Linked DNA regions of Diceros bicornis minor. The main gene of each other region encodes a partner of the protein of the gene in region 3 in a complex. Links are inferred from orthologs where the notes say so. Each region holds a gene or a part of one and is shown on either strand. Other genes may lie near its edges. The genes, in order: RBM15, METTL3, VIRMA and CBLL1.

What was found.
Region 1: VIRMA (region 3) and RBM15 share a complex: the UniProt entries of both Homo sapiens proteins name them as parts of the WMM complex. The link is inferred for Diceros bicornis minor from reciprocal best matches to the Homo sapiens genes VIRMA and RBM15.
Region 2: VIRMA (region 3) and METTL3 share a complex: the UniProt entries of both Homo sapiens proteins name them as parts of the WMM complex. The link is inferred for Diceros bicornis minor from reciprocal best matches to the Homo sapiens genes VIRMA and METTL3.
Region 4: VIRMA (region 3) and CBLL1 share a complex: the UniProt entries of both Homo sapiens proteins name them as parts of the WMM complex. The link is inferred for Diceros bicornis minor from reciprocal best matches to the Homo sapiens genes VIRMA and CBLL1.

The regions. Positions count from the first base shown.
Region 1 is NC_080743.1:43,362,892-43,370,196, reverse strand, and holds the start of RBM15 (RNA-binding protein 15), read right to left. Parts: upstream 3,013-7,305; 5' UTR 2,432-3,012; coding exon 1-2,431. UniProt on the Homo sapiens protein: RNA-binding protein that acts as a key regulator of N6-methyladenosine (m6A) methylation of RNAs, thereby regulating different processes, such as hematopoietic cell homeostasis, alternative splicing of mRNAs and X chromosome inactivation mediated by Xist RNA.
Region 2 is NC_080744.1:27,854,455-27,862,034, forward strand, and holds the start of METTL3 (N6-adenosine-methyltransferase catalytic subunit), read left to right. Parts: upstream 1-4,564; 5' UTR 4,565-4,696; coding exon 4,697-4,796; intron 4,797-7,580. UniProt on the Homo sapiens protein: The METTL3-METTL14 heterodimer forms a N6-methyltransferase complex that methylates adenosine residues at the N(6) position of some RNAs and regulates various processes such as the circadian clock, differentiation of embryonic and hematopoietic stem cells, cortical neurogenesis, response to DNA damage, differentiation of T-cells and primary miRNA processing.
Region 3 is NC_080760.1:13,777,996-13,785,062, forward strand, and holds the start of VIRMA (protein virilizer homolog), read right to left. Parts: upstream 3,005-7,067; 5' UTR 2,974-3,004; coding exon 2,911-2,973; intron 1-2,910. UniProt on the Homo sapiens protein: Associated component of the WMM complex, a complex that mediates N6-methyladenosine (m6A) methylation of RNAs, a modification that plays a role in the efficiency of mRNA splicing and RNA processing.
Region 4 is NC_080742.1:10,751,798-10,759,650, forward strand, and holds the start of CBLL1 (E3 ubiquitin-protein ligase Hakai), read right to left. Parts: upstream 3,016-7,853; 5' UTR 3,007-3,015; coding exon 2,706-3,006; intron 1-2,705. UniProt on the Homo sapiens protein: E3 ubiquitin-protein ligase that mediates ubiquitination of several tyrosine-phosphorylated Src substrates, including CDH1, CTTN and DOK1. Targets CDH1 for endocytosis and degradation.

The DNA.
Region 1 (7,305 bases), on a different chromosome or scaffold from region 3:
GGTCTCCCTGTAACAAATGCATGTTGGAAGGAAAGTTGCTGTTCTTCAATAGAAGCATGCCCTGCCAGGCCAAACAGAGTTTGGGAGAGGCTGCTGCTGCAGGGGCTGTCCCGCCATCCTGTTTCTGGGAAGGAGACTTCAGCTTCGATGAAGCAGTGCTGGTGCTTGCTGCACTCCCATCAGACCGGTCTTCTTTTTTCAGAGGGCTTTTTCCTTCAGTGGGAGCAGTCGTCCGGTGCTTCCTATCCCGTTCAGCTGATGCTGAGTTTTTACGGTCTCGCTTGTCACCTTGGCTTTTCTCCAAACTACCTCGTCTGTCTCTGATTGGAGAGGCCCTTTCCAAGAGAAGACGGGAAGATCGATCATTGTCACTGTTGTAGCGATCCCGGCTACTGCTCAATTCTGGACTGCGGTCAGGAGAAGGAGCACAGTGACGTTTTCGTGGACGGTCGCTCTCAGGGGACCTATCCAGATGCCGCCCCCCACTCTCCTCAGGCAGCCTTCGCTTCCTAGGCTGGTCTCTGCTGCTGGGTAGATCTCGCTCACCTCTGTCCCGGTCCAAGGACCAGCCATCCCGCCTGCGATCCAGGCTGTCCAGTGGCTCATAAGCAGGCACAGCAGTGGCTGCAGTCCGAGTGCTGCGTTCACGGACTGGGGGTGGGGGTGGCACCCAATCAGAATCAGGATAAAGGTCTCTATCACGATCTCTGTATAGTAAGGGTGGTGTCCTATCCCGAGCACCCCTCAAAGGGTCAGGTGCCCGATGTCCAAAAGCATCTGTTACCAGTTCATAATGAGTTAACGGCAGAGGCTGCAGATACTGCTGCTGGTAACGATGTTCTGTGTCTGCAAAGTCTACTCTAAGGCGGCGATCTGGGCCACCGAGTGGGAAGCCCCGCATATGGGTCCAGGCAGCATGAGCTGCATCCAGGCTTTCATATTGGATATATGCCCAACTATCACCTTTGCGGTAGTCTATGGTGCGGATGGTGCCAAATCGGTCAAACTCTCGTGCCAGGGCAGCAAGAGGCACCCAAGGTCCCAGGCCACCCACCCAGAGGCGGGTGGTGGGTGTAGCTTTACCATAACCAATTTTGATAGGATTCCGAATTATAATTTTGCCAGACATTGCTAGTTTGGCCCGATGAGACATGTCTAGGTTCTCAAATTTGAGAAAGCCATAGGTACTGGTCTGGCCCCGAGAAGGCCTTTTGATGTCTACTTCTGTGATGACTCCAAAGCGGTCAAAAGCCCTTCTTAGATCACTCTCTGTCACAGTGATGTCTAGGTTGCCCAAGAAAAGCGTCCGGTTAGCTCGCTGATCATCCTCGGGTGAGATCTCATCCACTTCTCTGAAAGGAGCAGCACCTGCTCCAGCTCCCACCCTCGGCTCAAGACTGTATGCAGGACGCACTCTCTCATAGAACGGGTAGTCTCGCTCCCGCTCTAGCTCTCGGGGCAATGGTGGCGGAGGTGGAGGGGGCAGGCGGCCAAGAGCCAACTGCTGCAACCGGTAGTCTCTGTATCCCAAGGCTGCGCCACCAGGTGAAAGTGATCTCTGGCCTCCACCACCTCCTCCAGGGGGGTGCCGGTGACCACCTACAGAGGCCCCGACCACGCTGGCTGACGGAGGATAAGCATCTTTGTCTAAAGGGGAGCGGCTGCGGCGCCGGCTCACATACACCGCTTCTATCTTCAGGGGCCGGTCATAGAGCACCAGGCGGCCTCTGGCATGCTTGGCCGCCCGCGCGTCCTCTGGCCGCCGGAAGTTCACAAAGGCTACTCGCTCATCCCCGCTGCTAGAACCCGAGAGATGACTGATTTTGACACTTACATCACCGAAGCGTTTGAACTCGTGAAACAGTCCGTCCTCCACTGCTTCGTCACTCAGCTGGGACCCCAACTCGCTTATCTTCAGCGTCTTGTATTCCCCGCCGTCCCCGCCGCCGGGAGCTGAGGAGGCGGCCCCAGAGGAACGTGACTCCCCGCCTCCACCCCGGGAGCTGCTGCGCGACTCGCCCCCGCCCGAGGAATTTTTGGTGCTTGGGGAGCTGTAACTGTGCAAGCGGCTACTGGAGCTGCCCCCACCAGTGTCATACTCGCGGCTGCCCCCTCGGCTGCTGGACTTGTCCAGATGAAGGCTGCGCCGCGACCCACCGCCGCTGTCGGTCTTTCCGCTGCTGCTCCCATTGCTGCCACCAGAGCCCCCTAACTTCTTGCTCCGCTCCCCGCGGGAAGTCGAGTCCTCGCCACCACGCGAGCGTTTGGGCTTGACTGGGGAGCGCTCCTTCCCCTTCATTGTTGCGGGCCGTCGGAGGTCGTCTCCGCGGAGCAGATGAACCCGCCGCCCCGCGCTCGTTTCACACAGCGGAACCGCACGCCGCCATCTTGGACTCCGCCGCGGCAAAGGCTCCCGCCCCGTCGTCCTCATTGGTCAATTAGCACTTCTCCTCTACAGTCTCATTGGGAAAACTGTTTGTCTGTCTTCACATCTCCCCGCGCTCGGGGAAGGCGCCCGCCCGTCCACTGTTATTGGGTTCCCAACGCCCTAGTCAGAGTACCTCATTGGTCCTACTCGTTGTCCATCTTAACGGTTCCTCGCGCCAGGCTGTAGCTCCGCCCCTTGCACTCTATGGTCACTTGACCCAAAGTCTGGAGGCGTTGATTGGACAAAAAGTCTGCCCTGTAACGGTACTTCTTGCGCGGTGAAAGCAGTGATCCCACTTCCTCATCCCTTTCATTGGTTTGTGACCCCGTCTTTTAACTGACTATTTGGGAAGTCCGGCCATCTGTTCTGGCGTTTTTTTCTGAAAGGCCGGCTTACAATGATCTCGCGAGAGAGAGAGCGCTCCCTCTTTCGACCCCCTTCTTCCAACTCCTCCGGCGGCTGACAGAAGTTTAAATCTGATTGGATATCGATGAGGACGTTGATAGGCTGAAATAACTGTCTATCACTAGCTTAAAGGGGTAGGTCCATATACTGAGGAGGCTGAAGGTGAAAGGGTAGAACACGCGCTTGCTGTGTGACGTCACTTAGACGTCGCGAGACGGTGATCACGAGTCTGTTCCGCCTGCTCGGGCTGTCGGCGTTCTCTTCTCAAACATTTGTTCGGTCCCGCGGCGTACTTGGCTGTGCTTCGGCCGTCGGAGTTCGAAACTGGGCTCCCCACTTCCTACCTGTGCAGGACAAGGGGCTGGCTGGGCAGGGCCTCCGGCTGTCGGGGCCCGGGAATCCCTCAGGCAGCCGTCCCAGGGCATCCGGCACACACCGTGTTAGTCCACCTCGCCCCAGTGTGAACAGCCTGAAAAAGCCCCACCCGCTCCTGCGCGCGAGGGCGCCGCCTGCGGTCCCTGGGGCGACGGGCAGGCCTGGCCGCGAGTTCACAGTTCACACCAACGCCCCGGGGCGGCGCAGAGGCTGGGCGCGGGCTCGGGGTCCCGCGGGTAGGAAGCCACGCAGCGCTCGCTCCGGAGCCCAGGTCTCTGGCGCTCCCGGTTCCCGCCCAAGTACCCCGGGTAACCGAGGGGAGTGACCGACTTTCCCAGGTTCTCCCAGCCCGCGAGAGTGGCCGGGACGGGCGGGCCACCGCGGAAGTGTCTGGACTTCCTGATCTATGTTGCGAATTCAAGTGGATTTTGGATTTTGTCGTCCCATAGTATACCTGTGTGTTTATTTATACGTAATGCCGCTCCCAGTTAAATGATCGAGTGACATTTACGCTCCATGCATTTTTTTTTCTGTGGCTTCTTGTCCTTGCCGGCACCTCCGGTTATATTCTGTATTAGAAGCCAGTGGCACAGCCGCCTTGCTGTCTCTCTAAATCCACTTCTTTTGGCTCCCTCAATCATTCTCGCTTCAAAAACCCAACTTTCGTTCTTTCCAGAGACCTTTCTTGTGTCAGACAATAAAGCACCTGTGCGAGGTGCTGGTGATACCGAGATTAGAAGAGGTACGTACCGTCTGGTGCAGGAAGGTAGTGCCCAGTTCATCACAGCAGTTAGGATAAGGCTTTCTGCAGTCCTCCCAGGTGTCCTCCTGGCAGAGGTTGTGAGGATTGGGCAGAGATTATGAGGGTTCTTGTGTTGATCCTCTCCTCAACCACCTCTCGAGGTCTGATATGTAGTAGAGAATGTGAGATGTTTTTATTTTGTTTTTTGTTTTTTGTGTGTGTGAGGAAGATCAGCCCTGAGCTAGTATCTGTCGCCCATCCTCCTCTTTTTGCTGAGGAAGATTGGCCCTGGGCTAACATCCATTCCATCTTCCTCCAGTCTGTATGGGACATGCCACAGCATGGCTTGACAAGTGGTGTGTCACTGAGCGCCCAGGATCCGAACCCCAGGCCGCTGAATTGGAGTGTGCGCACTTAGCCTCTATGCCACCAGGCCAGCACAGTGAGATGTTTTTAAAACATGACATTTTTCAAGATAACTATAGTGTCCGGAAAGCTGAAACCTAAGCTTGAAAACTATTTTAAGATTAGAGACTGCAACCTCTTTAGCCCTGCCTTAGCCATCCTTCTCTTTCTAAATAATCTTGAGGAAGGTGAAGATGTGGGCCTTTTATCTATTGATTATATCAAAAAAGCTTGAAAGAAGCCCAATATGTAAAAGCATAAAAGTCCACAGTGTTGTAGTGTGTACACATTCTCGTTGTATTAAAACTAGCTATTAAAATAAAACTTCATAAAGCATAGAACAATGTATAATATGCTACCATTTGTGGTTTTTACAAATGATATATATGTGTATATACATATATTTTCTATATATATTAGTAGAAACTTCATGGAGAATACTTGGGAAGTTGTTACTAAGATCAGGCTAGGCGGGTTGAGGGTCTGGTTGGGAAACTCAACTTTTCATTGTATGCCATATTTATGCATTATTAAAAGAAAACTTGTTTTACCATGTGCATGCTATGACTGTTTCATTTTTTAAAAATAGAAATTATTTTTAGCTTTCCTTAAAAACTTTGTGTGTGTGTGTGTGTGTAAGGAAGATTAGCCCTGAGCTAACATCTGTTGCCAATCCTCTTCTTTTTTTGCTGAGGAAGATTGGCCTTGGGCTACCGTCCATGCCCATCTTCCTCTATTTTATGTGGGACACCTGCCACAGCATGGCTTGATAAGTGGTGTGTAGGTCCAAACCTGGGATTCGAATCTGCAAACCCCAGCCACTGAAGCTGAGTGCGTGTACTTAACCACTATGCCACCAGGCCGACCCCCTTAAAAACTATTTTTTATGGAAAAAGTAAAAAATATACAAAATTAGGGCTGGCCCGGTGGCTTAGCGGTTAAGTGTGCCCACTCCGCTACTGGCGGCCCGGGTTCAGATCCCGGGCGTGCACTGACGCACTGCTTCTCTGGCCATGCTGAGGCCGCGTCCCACATGCAGCAACTAGAAGGATGTGCAACTATGACATACAACTATCTACTGGGGCTTTGGGGGGAAAAAAAAGGAGGAGAATTGGCAATAGATGTTAGCTCAGAGCCGGTCTTCCTCAGCAAAAAGAGGAGGATTAGCATGGATGTTAGCTCAGGGCTGATCTTCCTCACACACACGCACAAATATATATATATATATATACACACACACAAAAGTAGAATACTATAAAGAGCTCCCATGTATCCAACACCCAATTTCAACAATTATCAACTTATGTCAGTCTTTTCTCATCTACACTCTCTTCCTGCTCTTCCTCCTCTTCATTATTTTGTTCCAGGCTTATCTGGTACATTTCTTGGGCCAGACACAGAATCAGTCATTTCTCCGAAGAGCTCTGGTTCCTTTCAGTGGGAAATGATATTTAAAGATAAAAATCTGGATGCTAGGGGATAGAAAAAACCAACAACCACCAATACATTGTTTGTAAGAGCACAAAACACTCAAAGAAAAAGCTTTACATAGTTAGGAGGGTTTAATCTATTTCAGGGTTATATTAATACAACACAAAATTAAAGCTAAGCTATTATCTTAATGTAATAGCCAATCCAAATAAACCAGACTCCAGAGTGACTAATTTTGGCCTAAATTGGCCTGCTTAGGTGACTCACTGATCAAATAAAAAGATAATGACCAAACCAGTATAGTTTCCAAACCTCATGATAAGGATTAAGGGAGCACAAGAGTTGAGGGAAAGAATTCAGGAAGCTGGTACCAGTATGTGTGGCAGAGCCTGAGGCTCTGCTAGGCTTAGTGGCATACTGTTTGAAATACCAGGGAGCTTGATGGAAGCTACTGCCCATAGCTGGCTACAGCCTAAGGGGACTGATAGCATGTCTGGTGTCAAGAGGACTGGTAATATAATGGGTAGACAGAAAAAGCCTGGATTCCATTATCAGTAATGGAGCCAAAATATAGCCTGTGATGTGTATGTGAGTGTGTGCACGACAGAACTGAATAATGACAATATGTCGATCCATGCTGTAGTCAAAATAAAGGATTTATTTTGTTTTTATTTCTTTGTGTTCTTTAAAGTATGAAGCTGCTTAGTGAGGTTGTATCAGCCTGTTTTCACCCATGTGCTTTAGAGAGGGCTGAGAGAGGATAAAAGTGACCCATGGTTTAGAGGACCAGGACCTGGAACCCTTTTGCAGGTGTTGGTGATGGAGTTGTTGAAGTCTGGTCCAAGCTTTCATCTGATCTCCTTGTGATCTGTGGCCAGATTTGTGAGATCAGCTGACTTGGGTGAGGAGGATCTTTCGGTGGTCATGGAAACAGAGTTAACCTACCAACAGATTCCCTGAGCAGCATAGCAGCATGCTGATCTCTTCTTTTAGTGCCTTGTCAAAAACCAAGCAATAGCATTGAGGAAAAGCTACCATAGCCCATTCTGGCATCAATGTTGACACCCTGGAGCTGTATAACTCAAAGGCCCTAGAGGACACAGCCCAACAGGAGAGCAGCCACAACCAGCTTTCTATATGAAGTCATCTTCTTTAAAATCAGCTTTAGATTTAAAAGGGAAAAGCAAAATAAAAGTTGTGCACATGGAAGAAAACTGAGCAATTAAAAGATATCAGTATGTTTTCAATCAAATGTCTTTTTTCCACTCTCTTCCTTCCTCAGTTTTATTGTTTGTGTATCCTCAATACACACACAGACAATTATGATTGCAATATGAAATTTATCTTAGGAGTTGAGAGCCATTTGATTTCCTGGCAAATGCAAAAAGGCCTGAAGCAGGGAATTGAAATTTTTTTCCCCACCCACAATAGTGGATTAAAATTTTCTGTTTCATCTCCCTTCATAAAGTGAGTGGTCTCCTGACAGTGAGATTTGTTTTGTCTGCAGAAAAAGTGTGTA
Region 2 (7,580 bases), on a different chromosome or scaffold from region 3:
ACCAAGTCCTCTTTGGCAGGTACAGAGATGTGCTGCTTCAGAGATGTCACTTCAGGAAAGAACTGGTTATCGAGCTGAAAGAAACCTGGATAGCTGACGGCCTCCAGCTCTTCTGCTGTTCTGCAGCCCCTGGCCAAAGACTGAGCAAAGCGGTGGGTGGTACAGGGGCTTAGTCATTCCCTTGGAACATGGGACTCTAATGAGCAATTTTTGCTCTGGAACTCCCCATTGGGCTGGCAGAAACTTTGTCAGATCTGCATCATAGTCTGACAGCTCTCCCTGCCCAATCCCATTTTCTCCCCCTTTACCTTTTACAATTGTTACTCCCCAATAAAACTTTTGGACTCCTAATTCCGTTTCAGCACCTGCTCCTTAGAGATTTCAACCTGTGTCACCCCTGAAAAAGGCCTAGATATTATTGGCACATTTTCATCTCTCACAAACTCCTGCTTCTGGGGCTTTGGTTACTGTCCCTGCAACTTCTTAGTAAACCAAAGAACCCCTGTCTCCTGATCCCCAAGATAGACTTCATTAGTGTTGCTCTCAATTAGACCCAACTTTGACTTCCCTTTACATTTCTTTGTGTTTTCTATTGTTTAATAACTGATTGACTAACCCAATGGACATTTTGCTTTTGATCATATAATAAGAAACAGTAAGGAGAAAAACTTAAGGGAAAAAAACATTTGGCCAAAGAACCAAATAAAAAGTTTTGGTCAGTATTGTGGATGTTTCAGCAATCCATTGCTGTGTAACAAACCATCCCAAAACTTAGTGTCTTAATAATTATGTCTTTGCTTGTGATTCCATGGTTTGTTAGGCAGGCCTGAGCTAGGATGGCTTGTCAATGTTCCACGTGATGAGGGCTGAGCTCACTCAGGCAGTTTCGATTTGGGCTGGAGGATCCAAGACGGCTTTACTCACTTCTGGCCGCTCAGCTGAATGGCTGGAATATTGGAGCCTCTCTCCTTATAGTCTTTCATTCTCCAGGGCCTCTTTCCTTTCGAAGTCTTTCAATCTCTAGGATATCTCTCTTCCTCTCTCTCTCTTTTTAAGTGGTCTATCTATCAGGATAACTGGACTTCCATGAAGGCTCAGGTCTCCAAGAAGACAAAAGCAGAAGCTACAAGGCCTGTTAAGGCCTAGGCTCTGAAACCCAAAGAATATCATTTCTGCCACATTCTGTTGGCCAAAGCTAGTCAGAAGGCCAGCTCAGATTCAAGAGGAGGGGAAATCAGCTTTACCTCTTAAAGGGAAGAGTGACAAAGTCAGACTGCATAGGGCACGTGGGGTGGGAGGACTTGTGGCTAACTCTGGAAACAGTCTACCACAGCAGATATGAGGAAAAGTTAAGAAATGCAATGCATGCAGCATCATCTGCTCACAATGAGATTTACACTCTTTCTGGACTAGAAGAGGTCTGGGTGAGGTTCCTTTTTCCTCTCTGCACTGCTCAGGGTTGTATGCAGACTGACTAAGAGTGGGGACATAAGAAAGCAGTGGCTTGCTTTTTTTTTTTTTTTTTGAGGATGATTAGCCCTGAGCTAACATCTGTTGCCAATCTTCCTCTTTTTCTCCCCAAAATCCCAGCACATAGTTGTATATCCTACTTGTAGGTCCTTCTGTTTCCTCTATGTGGGACACCGCCTCAGCATGGCTTGACGAGTGGTGAGTAGGTCTGCGGCCAGGATCCAAACCGGTGAACCTGGGCTGCCGAAGGGGAATGCATGAACTTAACTGCTACGCCACCTAGCCAGCCCCCAGCAGTGGCTTTCTTTTGAGCAGAAAACTGGTCATGAGGAATCTGGAAAGAATCCCTCTATAAGCAGATCATGCTAAGTGGCCCTCCTGTGCTCCTAAAGTTTGCCTAATTTACTAAGTTGTAATAATTTACCCAAAGTGAATGTGAAAGCAAAGACTTCTGGGAGCTGCCCTTGATTTGATTGACTTTCAGGAGCACCCATGTTACTTCTTGGGCTTCCTTTGTAGGTGAGAGGAGGCAATCCAGGCCTTAGGTATCCCAAATTCTACCAGAGACTGAATCTTTTCCACTAGAAAAGCCTTCCTTTCCTAGACAAAAATGCTTATATTATTGGGGGGTTGACCTGCAGAATTCTGTCTTTACGATAAATCAACCCCCTTCATTTTCTGCAAGGCTATATCCAGTACTCTCTTTCTCCCCCAAGACTATTTAATTTTACTGCTATATAATTTCTATAAATTTCATTTCTATGTGTTAAGGACCTTGAAAGATATAGTGATCTTATAACAAATGAGGGATTCAGATTTGTCAACAATTAACTCTAATAGTGCTATAATATAGCAATAATGGGATTATCTTACTCCATTAATCATACATGTATCTAAACATAGGGCCACACAGGATACATCCCAAATGAGAGAACAAAAGCATCCTTCTCAACTTTCTTGAGGGCAGTTGCTAAACCGAGGTTATTAAAGGAGGCAAAAACCCTCAGGTAGAGCAGTCCCCTTGAGTAGTCTTCCATGATCTCACATTAGCCAACTATCCCAAGAGTATTTCAGCTGAGGAAGATACCATTTTTGCTTCTAATTACATGTAGTCCTGAGACTTAAATGTCTAGAGATGTTCATGTGAGCCCATATTCATTTCCATATCCTTTTCTTCAAGGCTCATATACAAAGTTACACATCTCAAAAGATAGTGTGAATTACCTAGTAAGTAAATTAAATTCAGAAAATGAGATGGAAATGAATATTTTTATTACTACTAAATCTCCACAGTACCTAGCACATAGTAGTCACTCAATAAATATTTGCTGAATGGATGAAACTGCCACTTCCAATACACATACATACATCTTTCCTCTCAATAGCCTCCCTTCATATTCACCCCTTCCTTCCCATTATTATCCATAACTAGCTTCTGAGTTAATTAAAGGTCCTATCATCAAACAGTTACAATAGGTTACCAACCATTTTCCCTATCTCTAACTCTCCTTCCTCCCCATCTCAAACCAACTAGAACAGTAGATTAATCTTAAAACACTCCCTATTCACAAACCTTAAATTATTCCCTGTTGTATTCTTTTTTTTTTTTATAATTTTATTTATTTTTTTCCCCCAAAGCCCTAGTAGATAGTTATATGTCATAGCTGCACATCCTTCTAGTTGCTGTATGTGGGACTCAGCCTCAGCATGGCCACAGAAGCGGGGCGTCAGTGTGCGCCCGGAATCCAAATCCAAGCCGCCAGCAGCGGAGTGCACGCACTTAACCGCTGAACCACAGGGCCAGCCCATTTCCCCTGTTGTACTCTGAATAAGTTGCAAGCTCTTTACTCAGGTAACATGTACCTTTTGCAATCTGGCCTCAAATATGGAAACATAAATATCCTCCCAAATTCCCAAATATAATTCTCTATGTTCTAGCAAACTAACCTGGATTAGCAGGACATACAACTTGCTTTCCTAACTCTAGCATAGACCTTTGCTTTTATCATGTCATTGGCCTGGAATTCTCTCCTATAGCTTCAGTGAAGCTATAGCTGTCACTTCAAGCCTGAACCTTGATGCCACCTTCTTTCCAATGCCTTCCGTGGTCATCTTGGCTTGGAGTCCTCCTCCTCTTTGCAGTGACATTTATTTGTTAAAGCCTATGCTCACGCTGCCTTATGCTGTAAAGATGGTTTGATATTAATAAGCTGGGTCTTAGTTTCTTTACCAGAAGAGAAATGCTCTGAAAACCAGAGCCATGCCTTTTCAAGCTATTCTTTCTGACACAGTGTTTGGCATCATGTAGCCATTTGATAAATCAATGGTTCCCAAATACTTCCATTCAGAGAACCCCATTTAAAAAAATAAAAAACGAAAAACTTTTGTATTTAAAAGTTTATTACACATACAGAGAAGTGCACATACCAAAATGTTTGGCTCAATTAATTTTCATAAACAACATACTCATGCATCCAGCTCCCAGAGTAAGAAACGCAATGGAACCACAACCTCAGAAACCCCTCTAGTGCCTCCTTATGAGGACTTTATTTTAATGTATTACATATCATACTTGTAGATTTGGTGTAAGTAAGAAGAGTGAGAATATGTAGTTGTAGACCCCTTATAATATCTCTGCTCCATCATTCCTCGTTCTCTCTCAAAGAAGCACAGATACAAACGCACACACCCATAGACTGGAAACCAATGTAATAGCTATATCTTTGTAAATGAATGCATGGAAACATAAACCTACAACATCTTCAGTGGAAAAAGTATATTAGTATCAAACTGTCAAAAGGAATGAGTGATCCTTCGTTTCAAAAATCTGTACGACACGTGCTGCTCTACGTGTACGTTCACAACCCAGCTCAACTCACAGGACTCCCCTCTTGTATTTATAACATGGCCGCATGCGCGTCTACAAGCAACATGGCCGCTCTGCCAGGCACCAACATGGCAACCACAGCCTCACCGCACCCGGAAGCACGCGAGAGTTCCAATAAAAAATACATCCGCCATTCTGCCAACACCTAAGGCGGCTCTCTTTTGAGCTTCAAAGAGAGTGCGAAGCCGGAAATGACCTTTCCATCTAGCGCATCTCCCGGGATTTCTTTCCGGTTAGCCTTGGGTGTCCGCGTGAGAATTGGGTATTTCCTGGAGCTGGGACTGGGAGGTGCTAGTTCGCCGCGCTTGATTCGAGACGTGTCTGGGTCTGGAGACTAGGATGTCGGACACGTGGAGCTCTATCCAGGCCCACAAAAAGCAGCTGGATTCGCTGCGAGAGAGGCTGCAGCGGAGGCGGAAGCAGGACTCGGGGCACTTGGGTGAGGCGCGGGGCTGTCGGGGCCGATGCTTACCCGGGGAGGGCGGGAGGGAACCCTGGAGAAAAAGACAGCTCCTGAGTCGGTGCCGTTCCCCAAGCGGCCTTTTCTGTAACACCCCGTGCGTTGGTGCTCTTCTCCTCCCCCTCAGCAGCACAGACGCCGCGCCCTCCGGCAAGTAGTCGCGGTTCCTTCCCACCTCGGGACGTGGTACGCCCAGTTCTCTTTCCCGGGACGGGCGCCCCGGCCCCACCCCCGTCCTCCTTACTGACTCCTAAGTCTACCAGATCGTCGCCTTTACTAAGACCTCTCAGCTACCTACCCCTCGAAGCAGCAGGTCCCCTTTTTGTTGCTCCCATGGCGCTTTGTTCTTCCCTCGGTTATAGCTACTACTTTGTACTGGTCATTTCTTTGCGACTATGGACACCGTGAGAGCAAGGACTGAACCTTTATATCCACAGCGCCCAGGTCAGTGGCCCTCGGTGTTGCTAAATGAGTAGAGGAACTGGCATTGTCTTTAGGTATTTACATACCGAGCAGGAATCTGAAAATATTTGTTTTTTGCTTTTAAACTTTTTCTCCCCTCCCGTTGCCCGCTATGTCACAGTCAAAACTTGAAGGAACCTCAAAAGATTGTCAACTCCTGCCCACCCCCTGTCGCCAGTACAAGCCCTGAATTATTTAAGGCAAATCAACTATAAAGATCTGCAAGGATAGTGAATCCAAACCACCCTTGTGGTAGCTTGTTCCAATGTTTAGTAGTATACTCGAGTCCATCTCTAAATCTTGTGTTAATACATATGAGGCCCGTGTGCTCATATTGTGGCCCCTGGAACTAGAAGATGCCCTGGCAGGACTCTGACACCATAATAAATAAACATCTATTGAGTATCTACAGTGTGCATGAGTTCCAGTTAGACAAAAATAAGTAAGATATTGTCCCTGCCCTCGAGGAGTTTGAAATTTAGTTGAGGATAAAGGATTAATACTTAAAAAAAGTTAGAAATACAATATGATATATGTAAAATGCCAAATGAATGAGTCCACAATGAGTTCAGTGAAGGGAGAGGTAGCAAGAGTTGGTTTAGTCAGTGAAGGCATCGGGGAGGAGTTGGCACTTGGAATTTGGTCTTCAGGGCTGTATAGGACTTAGATAATTACAGAGAAGTTAAGAGGGCAGGGTGAGTAGAGGAAGAAGTGCAAGTCGTATGATCAGGGATTAATTAGCAGTCAAGCATTGGAGTAGTTACTGAATTACCCAAGAGGGAGAATTTTTTTCTTGATAATATAAACTTCAGTTCCTTTGATGTCTTGTTGTAGATTCAATTTTCTGGTTTTTTCTTATTCTTTGGTTTCCTCTGTTTCTAAGACTTTTATTTTATGCAAATCAGTTTTAGACAGAAAATATAACACAGTTACGTCTCTGTCATAGACAAATGACCCAGTTGCTTCTTGATTTATCACAGACTTCTGTTACTGGGCTTAAGTACCTCATCAACTTTTTCAAATACAGCATTCTGGAAGAAATGATTGAGTCATTTCTCCCTATATATGTGTGTTCCTGAAAAATTGCTTCTGCAAAAGCCTGCATTAAAAATAGCAGGGCTTATAGAAGAAATAGCTTTAGAAGAAGCCTGTTCAAAACCTCTGTAACTTTGTTACTAGAGCCCTTACAATATTCTACTAAAAATGCTAGCATAGTTAAATCTCCACTGGTGTTTCTACCTATAATGAAAGTCATTCCATCCCCACAGCCTATATACCCTGGGGCTCCTACTTCCTGCTTCCATCCAGCAGTCTTGTTTTTGTTTAACCAAGGGAAATGCCTTTGCAGTTTATTCATCTGAACTTGTAGCTTCCCAGATAGGTTAACATAGTGCAAAGTGTAGCACTTCTTGAAGCCACTAAACCAGACACTTCTATTTTTTAAAAGGCATTTCTGTAGGATTCTCACCTTTTTTCCTTAAGGTATTCATGTGTTTTTGAAGTTTTTTCTTTAACTGTGAGAAAATTTGCCCCTGACCACTTCAGAACATTAACATGATGAGAAAAAATCATGTATGAACCAGCAAGTTTTCCATGTTATTCTGACATTCCCTTATTTATTAATTGCATATGAGCTGATTTGCATTGAATAAATACATTGTAGGAAATCAGATTTTACTTGGATAATATTTGAGAGAAGTCAGAGACATCTGTTCTGTGGACTGTGTTGTAGAGGTCCTCCAGGTGGTCATCAGGTAAACAACAGTGGGATGTGGGCTATCCGGATGAGTTGCTCAATCAGCAGAAAAGAAGAGGGGCTAATGGTTCCATTCATTTATAACTAGAAACTCACCAATTTACTACATTTGGACACTGTAGGTTATTCAGTTTTCAATGTACGTTATTTTAGTAGGAGGTAATGTAGCCTTGTTCTGTCACCTCCCCATATTCTCCACATGGATAGGCTGTCACTGCATTTTAGTACCCTCGGCCTCTTGCAGTGTAGAAAGATGTAAAGCCTTGGGTAAGTGCATTTCTTCTAGGAATATTTATTTAATTTGAGTATGGAGTAATTTGTTTTCCCTTCAGCAATGGCAATTGGAAAAGGGGACCTGAGGATTCAAGTAGTTGTTTGCTTTAACAAAGTGATCTACAGAGTTAATTTTTTAAAAACCACTATATCAGTGTACTACATCATTGACTACTTTGTGTTCAGCTTTTTCTGTCATTTTTGTGACAAATGACATCTTTTATCTGTAGTTTGTGGGTTTTTTTAATTCCTTAACAAGTTTATAATTATTC
Region 3 (7,067 bases):
ACATATATATATATTTATATATATTTGGGAGGATTTGGGAAAAAATTAAGGAAAGCTGTCAATGATAGCTGGGACTAAGAAAGGTGGGACTATGAAAGCCTTTGCTTTTCTGTATTTTCTAATTTTTCTATAAAGAAATTGAAATTTACTAAAATAACATAGTTATTTTTTTATTTTTAAAAAAGAGGCATACAAACCACAATCACAATTTGTAATTCATTTAGCACCACTCAAACCCTTTCAGTATTCTCCTTGTGAAAACTGAATAAATGTCTGTCTTCCCCATCGGTTTACAAATTCCTTTGAAAGCAAGGGCAATGGGTTTTGTTTTTTCTGTTTTATTTGTATTCCCCCTCCTAAATGTATACCTCACCATATGTGGTATTTTCCAACCGCGGCTGGTTGGTTGAATCCGTGGATGCAGAACCCGTGGATACTGAGGGCCAACTACAGGGACTTGAGCATCCAGGAATTTTGGTATCCTCAGGGAGTCCTGGAACCAATCCCCCAGTTACGGAAGGCTGACTGCACTCTTTCTCCCTCACACCATCAGTTGCTATCCTGTCAATTCTATATCCAAAATTTATCTTGTACCTATCCCTTCCTACTTAGTCCCACTGGACACAGCATGGCACAAATTTAGAGCCAGAAAATGTGTGTTGGTGTGTCTTAATCCAGCTATGCCACTTTAGGAAAGTCACCTAACCTATCATGCTCAGTCTCCTTACCTATAAAATGAGAACAACTATCTTTCAAAACTGATGGAAGGATTAGAGATAATGTATTTAAATTACCAAAGCACTGTGTCTTGCACAAAATAAGCATTCAATAAATGCTAACAATGATTACTGCCCATTCGTTAACTCAAGCTTTCATTACATCTCATCTTCTTGATTTGTTACCTCTAATTTTTCTGAACCATTTTAGGTATTACTGATAAATTAATCTAACTAATGTATTTTACTAATCATATAATTTGCCTGCTGAAAAACCTACTCATGTCCTGTAAGATAAAGTCCATATTCCTTTGCTGAGCATTCAAGGAACTCCATGATCTGGCTTCAAACTGCCCTTCAGGTGCCACTTCACACTGCTGCTTTCGGCATAGCCTACAGAGGACTGACTACTCCAGCAGAATGCCCTCCTTTCCTATCTATGACTGAGGAACAAACCCTATTCCAGCCAAGACCAAGTTCATATGCCAATTGCCTTGATGAAGTCTTCCCTGATACTCTGAAATGAAGAGTGATCTCTCCCTCCTCTGAAATCACATAGCCTTTACTTTTACCACCAAAGGGAGCTAAATAAATATTAACTGAGGTCCCAATATGTCAGACACTGATGGGCATTTGGGAAATAAAGGTGACAAACCCCAAGGAATTCTCATTCTGTCTCTTTACATACTCATCACATTCTAACTTGAATTATAATTTTGTGGACCTAATCTCCAATACTTAGTTATAAACTCCATGAGAACAAATATCTTAATATTCCATATTCCCCACAAACCCCTACTCCTCTTTCAAGACTCAATTTAAACGTGATCTCTACTAAGCCTTCCCCAATCACTGCCAGAAGAAGGTATTTACTACTAGTTCTATCCTCTGGACATCCTCAATGTATGTCTAAGAATGAATGAAGAAATACTAAATTCTTAAAGATATGATAAGTGAATGAATGCCAATTTTTCTAAACTAGAATACTACTAACCTAACTCATCATATCCTTTTTTCTTTCATTTTTAACTTTTCTCTATTTCTGTACACATGATAGATTTGTTCTTATCCAACTACTGTCTCCATTGTGAGTTTTCTAAAGCCTAGCTGGAATTACGGTCAGAAAAGTATGGTCATTGAACAAACAGAGCTAATTGACCCACATGAAATGAGAGACCACAAATGAATTCACTATTAGTAAGATAAGCTAACGTTTCCAAACTTTCGATTTTTACAGACCTATAAACCATTCGTTAAAATAATTATAAGACCAAGGTTGTCAACTTTTGATTTTGCCAAGTAAAGCATTAAGATACAACCACAACTCACTACCATCACTATCTCGGAAGAAAAAATAGTTCTCCAAATTGATTAAGTCTACATATCGGAACAGAAATGTGAATTCTGGGGGTTTTTAAATTTCTCTGTGGACTTCGTTAATGTTCATTTCTGGCCGGCTTTCGGGAACCTTTAATTAACTATCTATATTCAACTGACATACAGCAAAGTCAGTCATACGTTCAGAGGCGCTCCCAACACCTCACCCTCGCTCCTCAAAAAGACAATACAACTGTGCTTTGCAGTCTGACTACAATCCTCTCAATCCGCCCCTCTTCCCAACAAGTATTCTCCACGCAAAGGACTTCCGTGTAAGCATTTCATGTTCTAACGTGTACAATCTTGCCAAAAGTATTAAAGTTTCAGGACAAACTGGAGAACGCCGCGATCCCAAACCGAATGAGTGTCACATCTGTGCAACAGAAGTCCCGTTAGAAAAGGGACCTAGGAGAAGGGACTTAGGACCAGGAAGCCGTCGTGACCTGCTCGGCCACTTGCACTACTGTCAAACACAAGCTGTCCAAGACCCCTCCCAAACACCACCTGAGGTCAACCTGAGAACCATGATCCATTTCAAGGCCCAAAGCTGACAGGAACAAACAAACAAAAAAGAGCAAAGCAAGCAGAGCAGCCGAGTCAACCAAAGACGCGGGGGCCTAAGATCCCGCAGGGCAGTGAGGAGGCCGCCGCTGCGCTCCCTCAGCCCCACTGCCCACACCCAAGCTGGGGGAGGGGGTGTGTATGGGAGGAATTAAAGCGGCAATCGACAGGAGGAAAAGCCGAGGCACGCCTAACGATGTTTTGTAAGGGTCTCCAAGTCGAGAGGCACGGTCAGAATCAAGCCCCCAAGCCTTACCTCAGCGCTCGGGTGTTTAAAAGTATCTAAAAATAGCAGCTCCATCGCCGAGTCCACCGCCATGTTTGCCGCGGGCGGGAGCAGGGGGAGGACTTCCGGGGCAGCCCTCCAACCTCGGCGACAGCGGCTCAGGAGAGGCAGAGACCGCCGTACTTCCGGTTGCCAGAGCGCTAGCGCCGCAAGCCTCAGCCTATCCTGACGCGAAGTGCTGCCCGGTGTCGCCGGCCCCGCCTTCTCCAGCGCGGCGGAGGGCGCCCTCAGAGCGCCGAGAGAGGCCAAGAGAGGAAAGCAGGGGACTACGGAGTCTCCAGTGGTCCAAACCTCGTCGTTCTACCGCGTTATAGAGCCGCGATGGGCTCCCGGTGGCAGAGTGCAGAGCTGGCTTTGGGGAGGGTGGAGGAGGGATGGAGAGCGCTGCCAACTCTGGATACCCAGCCTAGTGAACCCGCCAGCAAGCAGCCTTTCTAGGGCTGGCAGGAAAAAGGTGCAATGAGCGAGACTGTAAAGTACGAATTTTTTTAAAAAAGAAGAAAAAAAGAAACTGTTGTCTCAAAACCAAGAGATTTTTTGTTTTCTCCTGCAAAATGCGACTTGTGCATCATAATACCTAACCCACAGGCTTATTGTGAGGATGTATTGAAATAAAATTCGAGAAATTGTATGACGTGAAATACCATGAACAATAAAAATGTAGAGGGAAAAGTCAGTCTCCTTTTCTCCCTGTTGATGAGCATTGGAGCAACTTGAACAGTTTGGTAGTCTTAATTGGCGCAGGTGCTTGGGAGAGCAGTTAGGAATTATCTAGTAAAATTATACGTGCCTGCTCCCCTTCTGGGAAAATTCTTGTACATGTGCTCAAAGAAATACCTACAGCTACAATAATGTTCATGGCAACATTAATGGTTGCAAAAAAGCTGTAAACTTGATTGTCATTAACAACAAGTAATAAGTAAACTGTGGTATGTTTATGCAATGTCATAGTATACAGCAGGTAGAAATAATGAACTAGTGCTGTATCTACTAACATGTTAAGCAAAGGGTTAAGCAAACAGGTTGAAGAATATGTAGTATAAAATGGCATTTATATAAATGTAAAATAATATAACTTTTTAAGGGCATATATGTTATAAAATTATAAAGAAATGCCTTGGAGTGATAAACCCTAAAATTTCAAGATAGTGGTGAACTGGAGGGAGATGTGACCAAGAAGTGTACAGGGGCTTCAAGTGCTTTGATAAGATTTTATTCTTTAGGTTCGTGGTGGTTTCACAGGTGTGCTTTACGTTATTGTTTGTACGTTTCAGTATGTCTGAAATATTTAATAATAAATTAATTTTTAAATTTTTAAAGTAACTGTCCCATCTACCCCCTTCCTCAGCCATCCTGTTTCCTCTATTAGCTAAATTTGTCTATTTTTTGATTCTTCAGTTTCTGCTTTTGAATTTACTAATTCCTTCTTTCTGCTTTCTTTAGTCTACATGTACATAGCTGTTCTTTTTCAAATTTCTATAGTGATGCTTAAGTTATTTATATTCATATTTCTTATTTAGTACTATATATATTTGTGTCTACTAACATTTCCCTAAGTTCTGCTTTAACTGTAACTAATACACAATGTAGTGCTTTTATTATTGGTGTTTTTTACATAGTCTGATTTTCTTAGCTTTGATTTTCTTTTTGACCTAAGAGTAGTGTGAAGTAGCTTTTTTCCTTTAATAATAAACTATTTTTAGAGCAGTTTTAGTTTTTTGGGAAATTGAGCAGCTAGTACGGAGAGTTTCCATATAGCCCCTTTTCCCACTGTTCAAGGATTCTCCTATTATGAATATCTTGCATTAACATGGTACATTTGTTACAATTGATGAACCAGTGGTGATACATTGTTATTAACTAAAGCCTTAGTTTACATTAGGTTTCACTCTTTCTGTTGTATGTATATACTATATGTATATTTGAATTTATAGACTATCTCTGAAAGAATTATGCAAGAAACTGGTAATAGTTGTTGCCTCCAGGGAGGGGAACTAGATGGCTAAAGGTACAGAAATAAAGAGAATCTATTTCCATGTACATATATTACTGTACGTATTAAAAAATAAAATTTTAAATGATGAATAAGAATTGAGTAGAGAAAAAAAGAATTTAGGAGTAAAGAAAACTTTTATAGACTCTTTCAAGAACTTTTGTTGCATAGAACAAAGAAATGAAGTGGTTGTTAAATGGGGGGACGTGGAGTCAAGAAAGAGTGTCTTTAAGATGGGTGATAACAGAGCATGTAGACTGATGGGAATGAAGCAATGGAGAGAGAAACATTGATGATGAAGAGAGCGAGGGAATCTGAAACAGCAAAGTATTGAGTAGGTGGGAGGGGTGGTACCTGGTGGCCAAATATAAAGTGACCTTTGCTAGAAAGAATACCTGCTCCTTGGTAACCAGGGGCAAGGAGGTCCATGGGTAAACATGCCAATGGGAGTAATGATTTAGTAATGGGGAAATGAGGAAATTCCTTTTTGACAGTTTCTATTGTCTCAATGAGATCATCAGCTATGATTGAGAAGGCAGAAAGACATGTAGGGGACCAAAGAAGAGAGAAGGTATTAACCAGACTTCTGGGAGAGCCTCAAATCCCTGACTGGCTATCTATCACCTTAGTATGTAGGGCTTGAAATTCACTTCTCCTTGCTCACTCTTTCGCCTTGTCCCTATCACACCACTTAGGTGATTCAGCCATTCCCAGCTAGATATGGCTCCCTCCCTCAAGAGGTATTTCACATCACTGTGCCCTTGCTTACATGGTTTCTCTGTTTTGAGTATGACCCCCTAGGTATGGCTTTCAAAAACCTACATACAGGGGGCCGGCCCGGTGGTGCAAGCGGTTAAGTGCGCCCGCTCCGCTGCGGCGGCCCGGGGTTCGCTGGTTCGGATCCTGGGCGCGCACCGACGCACTGCTTGGCAAGCCATGCTGTGGCGGCGTCCCATATAAAGTGGAGGAAGATGGGCACAGATGTTAGCCCAGGGCCGTCTTCCTCAGCAAAAAAAAAGAGGAGGATTGGCGGATGTTAGCACAGGGCTGATCTCCTCACACACACACAAAAAAACCTACATACAGTTACAATAGCATCCAAAAGAATAAAATGCCTTAGGAATAAATTTAACCATGGAGGTGAAAGACTTATACACTGAAAAACAAATTGTTGCTGAAAAAATTAAAGAAGACTTAAATAAATGGGAAAACATTCCACGTTCATGGACTGGAAGACTTAATATTGTTAAGATGACAATATTACCCAAATAAATCTACAAATTCAATGCAATCCCTATCAAAATTCTAACAGCCCCTCCTTTTTTTTTTTCCAGAAATGGAAAATCTGATCCTCAAATTCATATGGAATTGCAAAGGGCCCTAAATAGCCAAAACTATCTTGAAAAAAAAATTTAGAGGATACACACTTCCTTTTTTCAAAACTTACTACAAAACTACAGTAATCAAAACTGTGGTAATGGCATAAGGACAAACATATAGACAAATGCAATAGAATTAAGAGTCCAGGGCCGGCCCCGTGGCTTAGCGGTTGGGTGCGCACACTCCGCTGCTGGCGGCCCAGGTTCGGATCCCGGGCGCGCACCAACGCACGGCTTCTCCGGCCATGCTGAGGCTGTGTCCCACATACAGCAACTAGAAGGATGTGCAGCTATGACATACAACTATCTACTGGGGCTTGGGGGGAAAATAATAAATAAATAAATAAAATTAAAAAGAGTCCAGAATAAACCTTTACATATATGGTGAACTGATTTTCAACAAGGGTGCCCAGGCCATTCAATGGGGAAGGAATAATCTCTTCAATAAATGGCACTGGATATCTACATGCAAAAGAATGAAGTTGGACCCTTACCTCATACAATATATAAAAATGAACTCAAAATTGATCGAGGACCTAAATGTAAGAGCTAAAACCATAAAACTCTTAGAAGAAAACATGGGTAAATCTTCATTACCTGGGATTTGGATTCTTAGCTATGACACAAAAAACATGAGCAATAAAATACAAATAAAATTGGACTTCAAAATTAAAAACTTTTATGCATCAAATGACACTATCAAGAGAGTGAAAAGACAATCTACAGAATGAGAAAAAATATTCGCAAATTGTATA
Region 4 (7,853 bases), on a different chromosome or scaffold from region 3:
TTCAAGGGTTATGTAAATTTCCCTAAGGGTCTCTCTTAATTCTTTGATATTAAAATCATTCTTTTAAGATGCCTATCCTGTCATAATGTTTTCAATTAACTGGCTAACTGGCATTTCCTCACTTGCCAATGATTTTATTTGTGATTTAAATAGTTATCAAATTCACGTTTATGAATGTCATGAAAACTTTATTCTTTTGTAAGGTTTGTAATCACAATCAATGTACAGCATTGATACTGTTTCCTGATATGAAACATGAAAGACACTGACTTATAATGAAATTAACTAATGAATAGAAAAGACACTAATGTTAAGGAGCAGGGATATCTGACCAGGAACTAATTTTTTAAGTGATCAGCTCATTAGTGAATATTTTCACGTTAGGATGACTTATTTTCTTAGGCAACCTTTTAACTTAAAGAAGCAGGATACTAAATATTCAGATACACACCCACCCATATTACAATTTCCTAACATAACATCCTCTAAACTGTGGAAGGGGCTTGACTCCCAATTCCAGTAATAGGCTCAAATGAGAAATATTTTGCTAACATTGAATGTTTGCTACTCTAACATCAAGATTGCAGAAGTTCAATTCTATAAAATTTCCAAACACCAAAGTTCCTCAGAGCCTGGTTCTTTCTAGGCCCTCTTCTCTTCTGTATTCCCTTTCCTTAAGTGATCTCATCATCCATTCTCATGCCTTAAAATATTACCTATGTGGTACTAAGTCCCAGATCTTTCCTTTGATTGCCACTTGACATCTCCCCTTGTATGTCTCAATATACATCTCATACTTAGCAGTCCAAAATCTTGTTTCCCAATTCCCACCTCTACACCTTAAAAAAAAAGAAAAGCCTCTTTTTCTCCCCAAGTTTTCCCCAACTTAGTAAAGGGCACTAACCTAGCTGCTCAAAAAGAGATGCCAGAAATCCAGGCGTCTCTCCTTTCTTTAACATACTTCTGAACAAATCCATCAGCAAGTGTTTTGAGTTCTACACCAAAATGTTTATTGAATCTGCCAGTCCCCTTTTCACTAAACCAAGCTACCTTCACTAAGTCAAGACTCCCTTCTGGTCTACTGCATCCACCTCCTAAACTGTCTATTTTCTATTATTCTTTCCTCCCTCTCTTATACCATTCTCCATAGAACAACCTATTATATTTTTAAGAGAGATTATGTTCCTCCTCTACTTCTGTTCAAAGGCTTCATATGGCACTTAACATAAAATTCAAAACTTTACCACGGCCTTCAAAGTCTTACACAACCTGACTCCTGCCTTCCTTTCCAATCTCATCCCAGGGCTCTTTCCCTCATGCTAATTAAAGCTGCAGCCAACTGGTCTACTTCAGACTCTTCTTTTCCTACTTCAGAGTCTTTGTACAGTCTGCCCTTCATATTTGAGAATTCCACACCCCCAGATTCAACCAACTGTGGATCCTGTAGGTGCTTATGTTTATGACCCGCGGTTGGCTGAATCTGCGGAAGCAGAATCCCGGGAAACAAGGGAGGACTAAGGGTGTTGAGTGTGCGCGGATTTTGGTATCGGTTGAGGGGTCCTGGAACCAATCCGCCCGTGGAGAAAACTAGGAACGACTGTACTTGGCTGGAAATGCTTTCCTCCTGATTTATTCCATGGCTAGGTTCTTCTCATCCATCAGATCTCAGCTATAAATGTTACCTTTCCAGAGAGACCTTCCCTGACTATCCTCTCTTAACCTTCCTCCAATTAGTCTTTACCACAGCACCCGTTTATTTTCTTCAAAGCACTCATCACAACCTGTAAACATTTAGGTTTTTTAAAACCTGTCTATCGGGCTGGCCCGGTGGCTTAGCAGTTAAGTGCTCCCGGTCCGCTGCTGGTGGCCTGTGTTCGGATCCCGGGTGCACACCAACGCACCACTTCTCTGGCCATGCTGAGGCCCCGTCCCACATACAGCAACTGGAAGGATGTGCAGCTATGACATACAACTATCTACTGGGGCTTTGGGGGAAAAAAATAAATAAATAAAAATTTTAAAACCTGTCTATTGTGTCTTCCCCAATAAAATGTAATTTTCATGGGGACAAGGACTCAGTCCGTCTTATTTACCATTCCATCATTCCATTTCCAGGTCTGCAGATATTCAGCACATGCTATAAGTTACATGTTGACTAGCACTCATTACATATACATAATTATACAATTAAGTAGATATATGAACTAAGGATATCTTAACCAATACTTAATACAAGAAAAAGCCTTTTTTCCCTACTTGTGATATAGCTCGTATAACTGTACAGAGCACTTTCTAACTGCAAGCGCACTCACTCAACATCCAAAAACCACAAGAAAGCAAAAGCTAAAAAACACATAACAAAGAGTGGAGCCATTCTTACTTGGAGAAAAGAATATCTTAATTTTAAGCTCTCCTTTGTAAATGTCCCCAAATGATGCGTAAGGACCACAGCCGAAGCGCGGGGCATGCTTTGCGCTTAGGCAGAAAAGCTGCTCCGAGTATGATTCCGAAAACCATATTCGACCCCATTCTCCCACCTCTAGTCCATAAAGGACCGGACAGACAATAAAGACCGGCGGTGAGCAGCGCAGCACCCGCCCAAAGCCGACTAAGGCAGCAGGAAGTCTCCAACCCACTCTCGCGCATCGACTCCCACCGTAAGGAGGCTTCCCCCATTCCGAAACTGGAAATCTACCCGCCAGTACCCATACGTAGGGCAGAGCGCCCGGGAGGAAGAAGAGAAGAGCCAGCTCTCTCCTCCCCACGGGCCCGCGCCGCCCGCCGTCCCAGCTCGGAGCTCAGCAGAACCAGAGAAGAAGAGGCTGTTGCCGGCACGGAGGCTGTGGGTATCACGCCGGAGAGTAGGCCGGGAAGTAGCAGGCCCTTGCCGGGCGCGGGCAAAGCTCTGTGCGATTTCTTTCTCACCGCCACACCCCAGTGCTGTAGGGCGAGGGTAACCCCTCTATGCCTGCTGGGCGACCAGTCCCAGGCTGGCCAAGGGGGCATGGAACCGAGACCCCCACTGCCTCCGCCTCCTTACCAGTGTGATCCATGATTCGGCTCGCAGGGCACAGTGGGAGCGGAAATCAACTGCGCCGGAGTCGCAGCCAGCGCGTGCGCGCTACCTTTCGGAGCCCGCCAGGCGGAAGTGTGACCAGGTTGCCCGGGCTTTAGCCTGCCAGGGCCTCCTTCTCTGGCGTCCGCTACACAACTGCGGTGAGGGAGTCAGGCATAGTTCGGGCAGAAGAAGAAAGAGCGAGTACGCGAAGAGCTTTGATGTCGAGGTTACTAAGGTTTCTTTTCACGTGCTTCGAGAGAAAGAAGCCTTTTAACTGTGGAGAGAGACCCTCGGGAACGGGGGAGAGGGAGAGCAGTAGTAGCCGGAGGAATAAGCTTGCGACAGGTAAGGCGGCCGCCCGCCCCCATGGAGCGTTGCCTTCTGGGACTTGTAGTGCGCCGGGGCCCTGGAGCCGGCCGCGCCTACTGCGCAGGCTCGGCCGTTGGGCTGGCCTCACCCGGGCGGGCGGAGTAACGGTTTGGAATCCCCCAGAGTGGGCAGGCGCTGTCTCCTCCCCCGCGGTCTAGGAAAAGTGTAAACACGCGCGCTCCGAAAGGCGTCCTCCAGTGGGAGGTTGCCCAGGGGATGCTGATCTGCGTGGAGCTCCCAGCCAGAAAGAAAGGCTCGACTTTGCTTTGTCGTGACGAGCTACACAGACCCACGCAGAGCAGACTTGGTATCTGCCCCCGTTCCCAGCGCTTAAGTTTCTAACAGTTGAAACATGTTTATAATGCTTAAGTAGCACTCCTTTTCTAGAGAAAACGCCTGTGCTAGGGACCCCCAGCACACCTCTCCCGAGGACTGGACGCGGGGCTGGCGGGAGGGCGCGAGCGGCGCAGCCGTCTTGCTAGGGCCCCGCGGGCGGTGGAGTGCAGAGCGGAGAGAAGGAGCGGGTAGACGCGGAGCGGCGCACGCAGAGCTGAGGGCTGCCGGAAGGGAGAGGCTGAAAAGGAAAGGCCCGAAATGAGGAAGAGAGAGTTACCGCAACAGGCAGTACCTAGTTCCAGTTCTTGGTCCCAGGGGTTTGTGGTTGCCGCTGCTTTCATCGTCCTCAGCCAAAACAAAAGAAAAGTGCCAAAGGGTGATTCCTGGGGACCTTCAGTGCCGCCTCCAGCGCGTGAACTCGGCGCATTTGCGTCCACTGCCTTCTCCAACCTTTTACACTTGATGCTCTCGGATGAGAAGAAAGGAGCACAATTAGTGGAAAACACAAGCTTGGGAGTCAAGGGATTTGGGTTCTATTCTTGTCGTCCCTTGGTGACGACATCATTACCTTGGGTTATTCACACTTTCAGTGCCAGTGTTATTAGATCGACAAGAAGTGATTGTATTGACCTCCTATAGAAACGTTTTCACGGTACTGAATTCCGAATAAAGTGTGTGCAACGATGTGCTACATCTGTATGGTTGTATAGTAACAGCTTTGAGTAATAGGATCAGTACTATAAGTGTTCTGTGTTATTTGGTGAATATGTTACTGGAGTGTTTTAAAAGACTTTCCCACTCTGCCGCTTTGTAAACAAGTTTTTAGGTACGTTCACAATTAAAGACAATTGTGAATCAAAGTTAACCCTACTGTTGTCAAAATGTAAATTTCTGTGTTACTAAGTGGTTTTCAAGATGCTTTCAATTGCTGGGCTTATTTTTTGGTTTGGAGGTTGGGGGAAACTTAACCTTTCTCCCATACTTTCCTGTTTCTCTAAAGACAGTGTTGATATGATTGGGTATTTTTTCACCAATTTGGGTTGTAAAAGAAAGAAGGAAGTGCTCTTTTTATTTTTTCTATTCTCATATTTAGCCTGTCAGCCATACTTCAGATTGATGCAAATCCAGGTTCAGAATAATATTGTTAGTGTCTGCTGATTCTAATATGTAAAGAATTAGAATAAAAAAGAGCCTTCAGACTGTATTTTACATAATTTAATCTGTAAGTCAGAAGTTTTGTCAGCATTTTATGGTGCATCAAGTTCTGAAAATTTACTGAGGGAAAACTCACTTATTTTAGATTTCCTGTTGATAAAATGTTCGATAAACATTTGCTGATTTCATTTGACACCTGTTGCTTTCATGCATTGCTCTAGCCTCTGTGCTCTATATCCATTTCCCCTTAACTGTAGTTGCCTCACTTTACCAGTGCAGTGGCAGCAGTGTGACAAATTAATCCCTTTGCCTAAATTGATAAGTGACACTGTACATAGACTTATATTTTATTACTGCACTCTGGTATCCATTGTTGGTGACCCGTGTGCTGTACTCAGTCACACTTTCTTTTCTGAAAGTGGACTTTCATATTTATTTTATAACATGGTACTGTCTTGAGGTTTATAAAAATGAACTGTCGTTGTGACGGATGATCTGAAGCCCTGAGGTGCATAGTTTCATCTTACTGACAGACCATCTGATAGCCTATGAATTATAAGCTGATGTTCTTGAAGGTGTCTTAATAGCTTTCCATTTGTATAGCACTGTTTACATTATGAGAAAAATAGGCTTTGTGTCAGAGGCCTTGTTTCCCCAAGAGTTTGTTTGAGACTCCTTAGGACCAGATCAGGACAATAACCTTCATCTCCTTAATGCTCTTTCAGTTGTATCACACGGTACTCACTGATACTGCAGAAGGCAAGAACTGGGTAAATAAAGATCCCTACCTGAAGGATCATACAGGCTAGCATTTATAGAAATAATTTAAAACAAATATGATTAAATTCGAAGTGTTTTGAGGGAATACAGTGCTACCTCCATTCAGAGACAATAATGAGCAGTAGGACTTAGTAGTTAGGTAGGCTTTACGGAGGGGTTGAGCTGAACCTTGATGAACAGATAGGATTTGGAGAGGTGGAGAGCAGTGAAAGAGGCATATCAAACAGGAAAGAGCAAGGGTGCAGAGGTGAGAACTGTTATAGCTTCTATTGAGGACAGTGATCAGCTTGACTTGTACTGTTGATCCATGTTTGGGAGTATTGAAAAATAAAGTATGATTGTAGAGAACCTTGAAAAGTAAGATTTCAGAGTAACAGTTAAGAAGGCGCATATAAACAAAACCTAGCATGGTGTATTCATGTAAACAACGTAATTCAGCAAGAGATATTCAAAACCAATGAGCAAAACTTAAATTGGGGGGGCGGGAGGGGGGAGTGGCTCAATACTGCTAATGTAAGAGAAGAACAATTGACCAGGAAGCCAGAGACCTCTGTGATGGCTGAAACGCCGGCAGGTATGCATGAACTGTTACTTAGAGAAGAACTGATCAGGAATGTGTCCACTATACATTAAGTTTGAGAAGTAGAAAAGGATGGGAAAGGCAGTGGAAATGTAGTGGTTAGATGTATGGCCTTGGAAGTTAAAGACTGTGGGTTCCAAGCCCAGCACTGTCATTTACCAGAGACTTTAGGCATATTACCTAATCTCTGTGGCTGGCTCACTTCATTTGTAAAATGGGGATAATAGTACCTACCTTTAGGGTGGTTGAGAGAACTAAATGTTGTTATCTATGAAAAGCATTTGGCACCCTCTGGCACACAGTAAGCTGGTAAATGGTGTTACTATATTCATTGCTTCTTAAGGTGATAATGAAAATTAAATGAGATAACATAGCAGCTGGCACATTATTAAATGACTATTAAATGTTTGCTGCAATTTCATTATTATTACCTATAGAAATGGTTTGGAGATAGGTTTTGAAGATAGGGTCACTAGGGCTGCTTTGGACTTATTAGCCTGCTGATGCAGACTCAAAGCAAGGCTCTTTGACTTCTCTATGTTGGAGTCAATTGAGTGATCTGCCCTCGAGCTGGGTTAGCAAGCTTAACTCCAGCCCCACGTAGTCCCAGCTTCCTCCTCTCTCTACCAGCTCTTGAAACTGAGCCCTAGCGTATTACCATAGCCAAGCCTTATCAAGTATGGCAGCCGGCTTTCCAAACACTATCAAAAACTGGGCAAGAGACAGATTCACGGAATAAGGAGGAAGTAAAGACTACAAGGACTGAACACTGCAGGTTGAAGACATTTCCCTACTCATCCTTTGAGGCCTGGCAATATACGTACTCATTTGGATAGGAGTCCTTTGATCTAGAGAGGGCCTGCAGCCTTCCTTCTCTTCTGAGAATGACATTTTGCAGTGTGTATCCTTTGAGGTGGATACCTCTTGCCCCTCCCTGCAGCTCCTCTGCTAGAGAAAATTGCCTTGTTTCTTCTCCTTACGTTTCTATTCAGCTCACACCTGAAAGAATGCTTAGGGTAGTAAACTGCTGTAAGCAAGCAGTCTGTGATACTGTTTCCTAGACTTGAGAAAGCTTTAGTCCAAGGGCTTCCTGACCCTATCCCCAGCTGCCACTCCATGCCAGTTGGAAGGGATTTTCAGGTTTCCCTGGTATACTTGGTTTGTAAATAGGCCCTGTTACTGTTTAAATAAATGTCTCTCACTATCAGAAATATATTTTACATCATAGCCAAGTACATTAACACAAATGCATATACATACATATAAGTATCATGAAACTATACTTAGCCTTACTGTATGCAGTGCTCTCTGCTATTTCTAGTCTGTCCCTTTAAAAACAATGCTGGTTATGATTCACTAAAATGTCAAAGTACACTAATGGCTTGGAATTTAAGTTTGAAAATCTCTATTTTATATCTCCCATGGTGTTTTGAAAAGCTTATACTATTCTAGAAATGTCTGAGCAAAAGGATAAATCTTAGCACTGGGAGGACTTAATCCTTGTGTGGCTGTGCAAAGAGATGATAAGGAAGAAGATAGATATCCAAGACCAAAGAATGCCAGGAAACTCAAGAA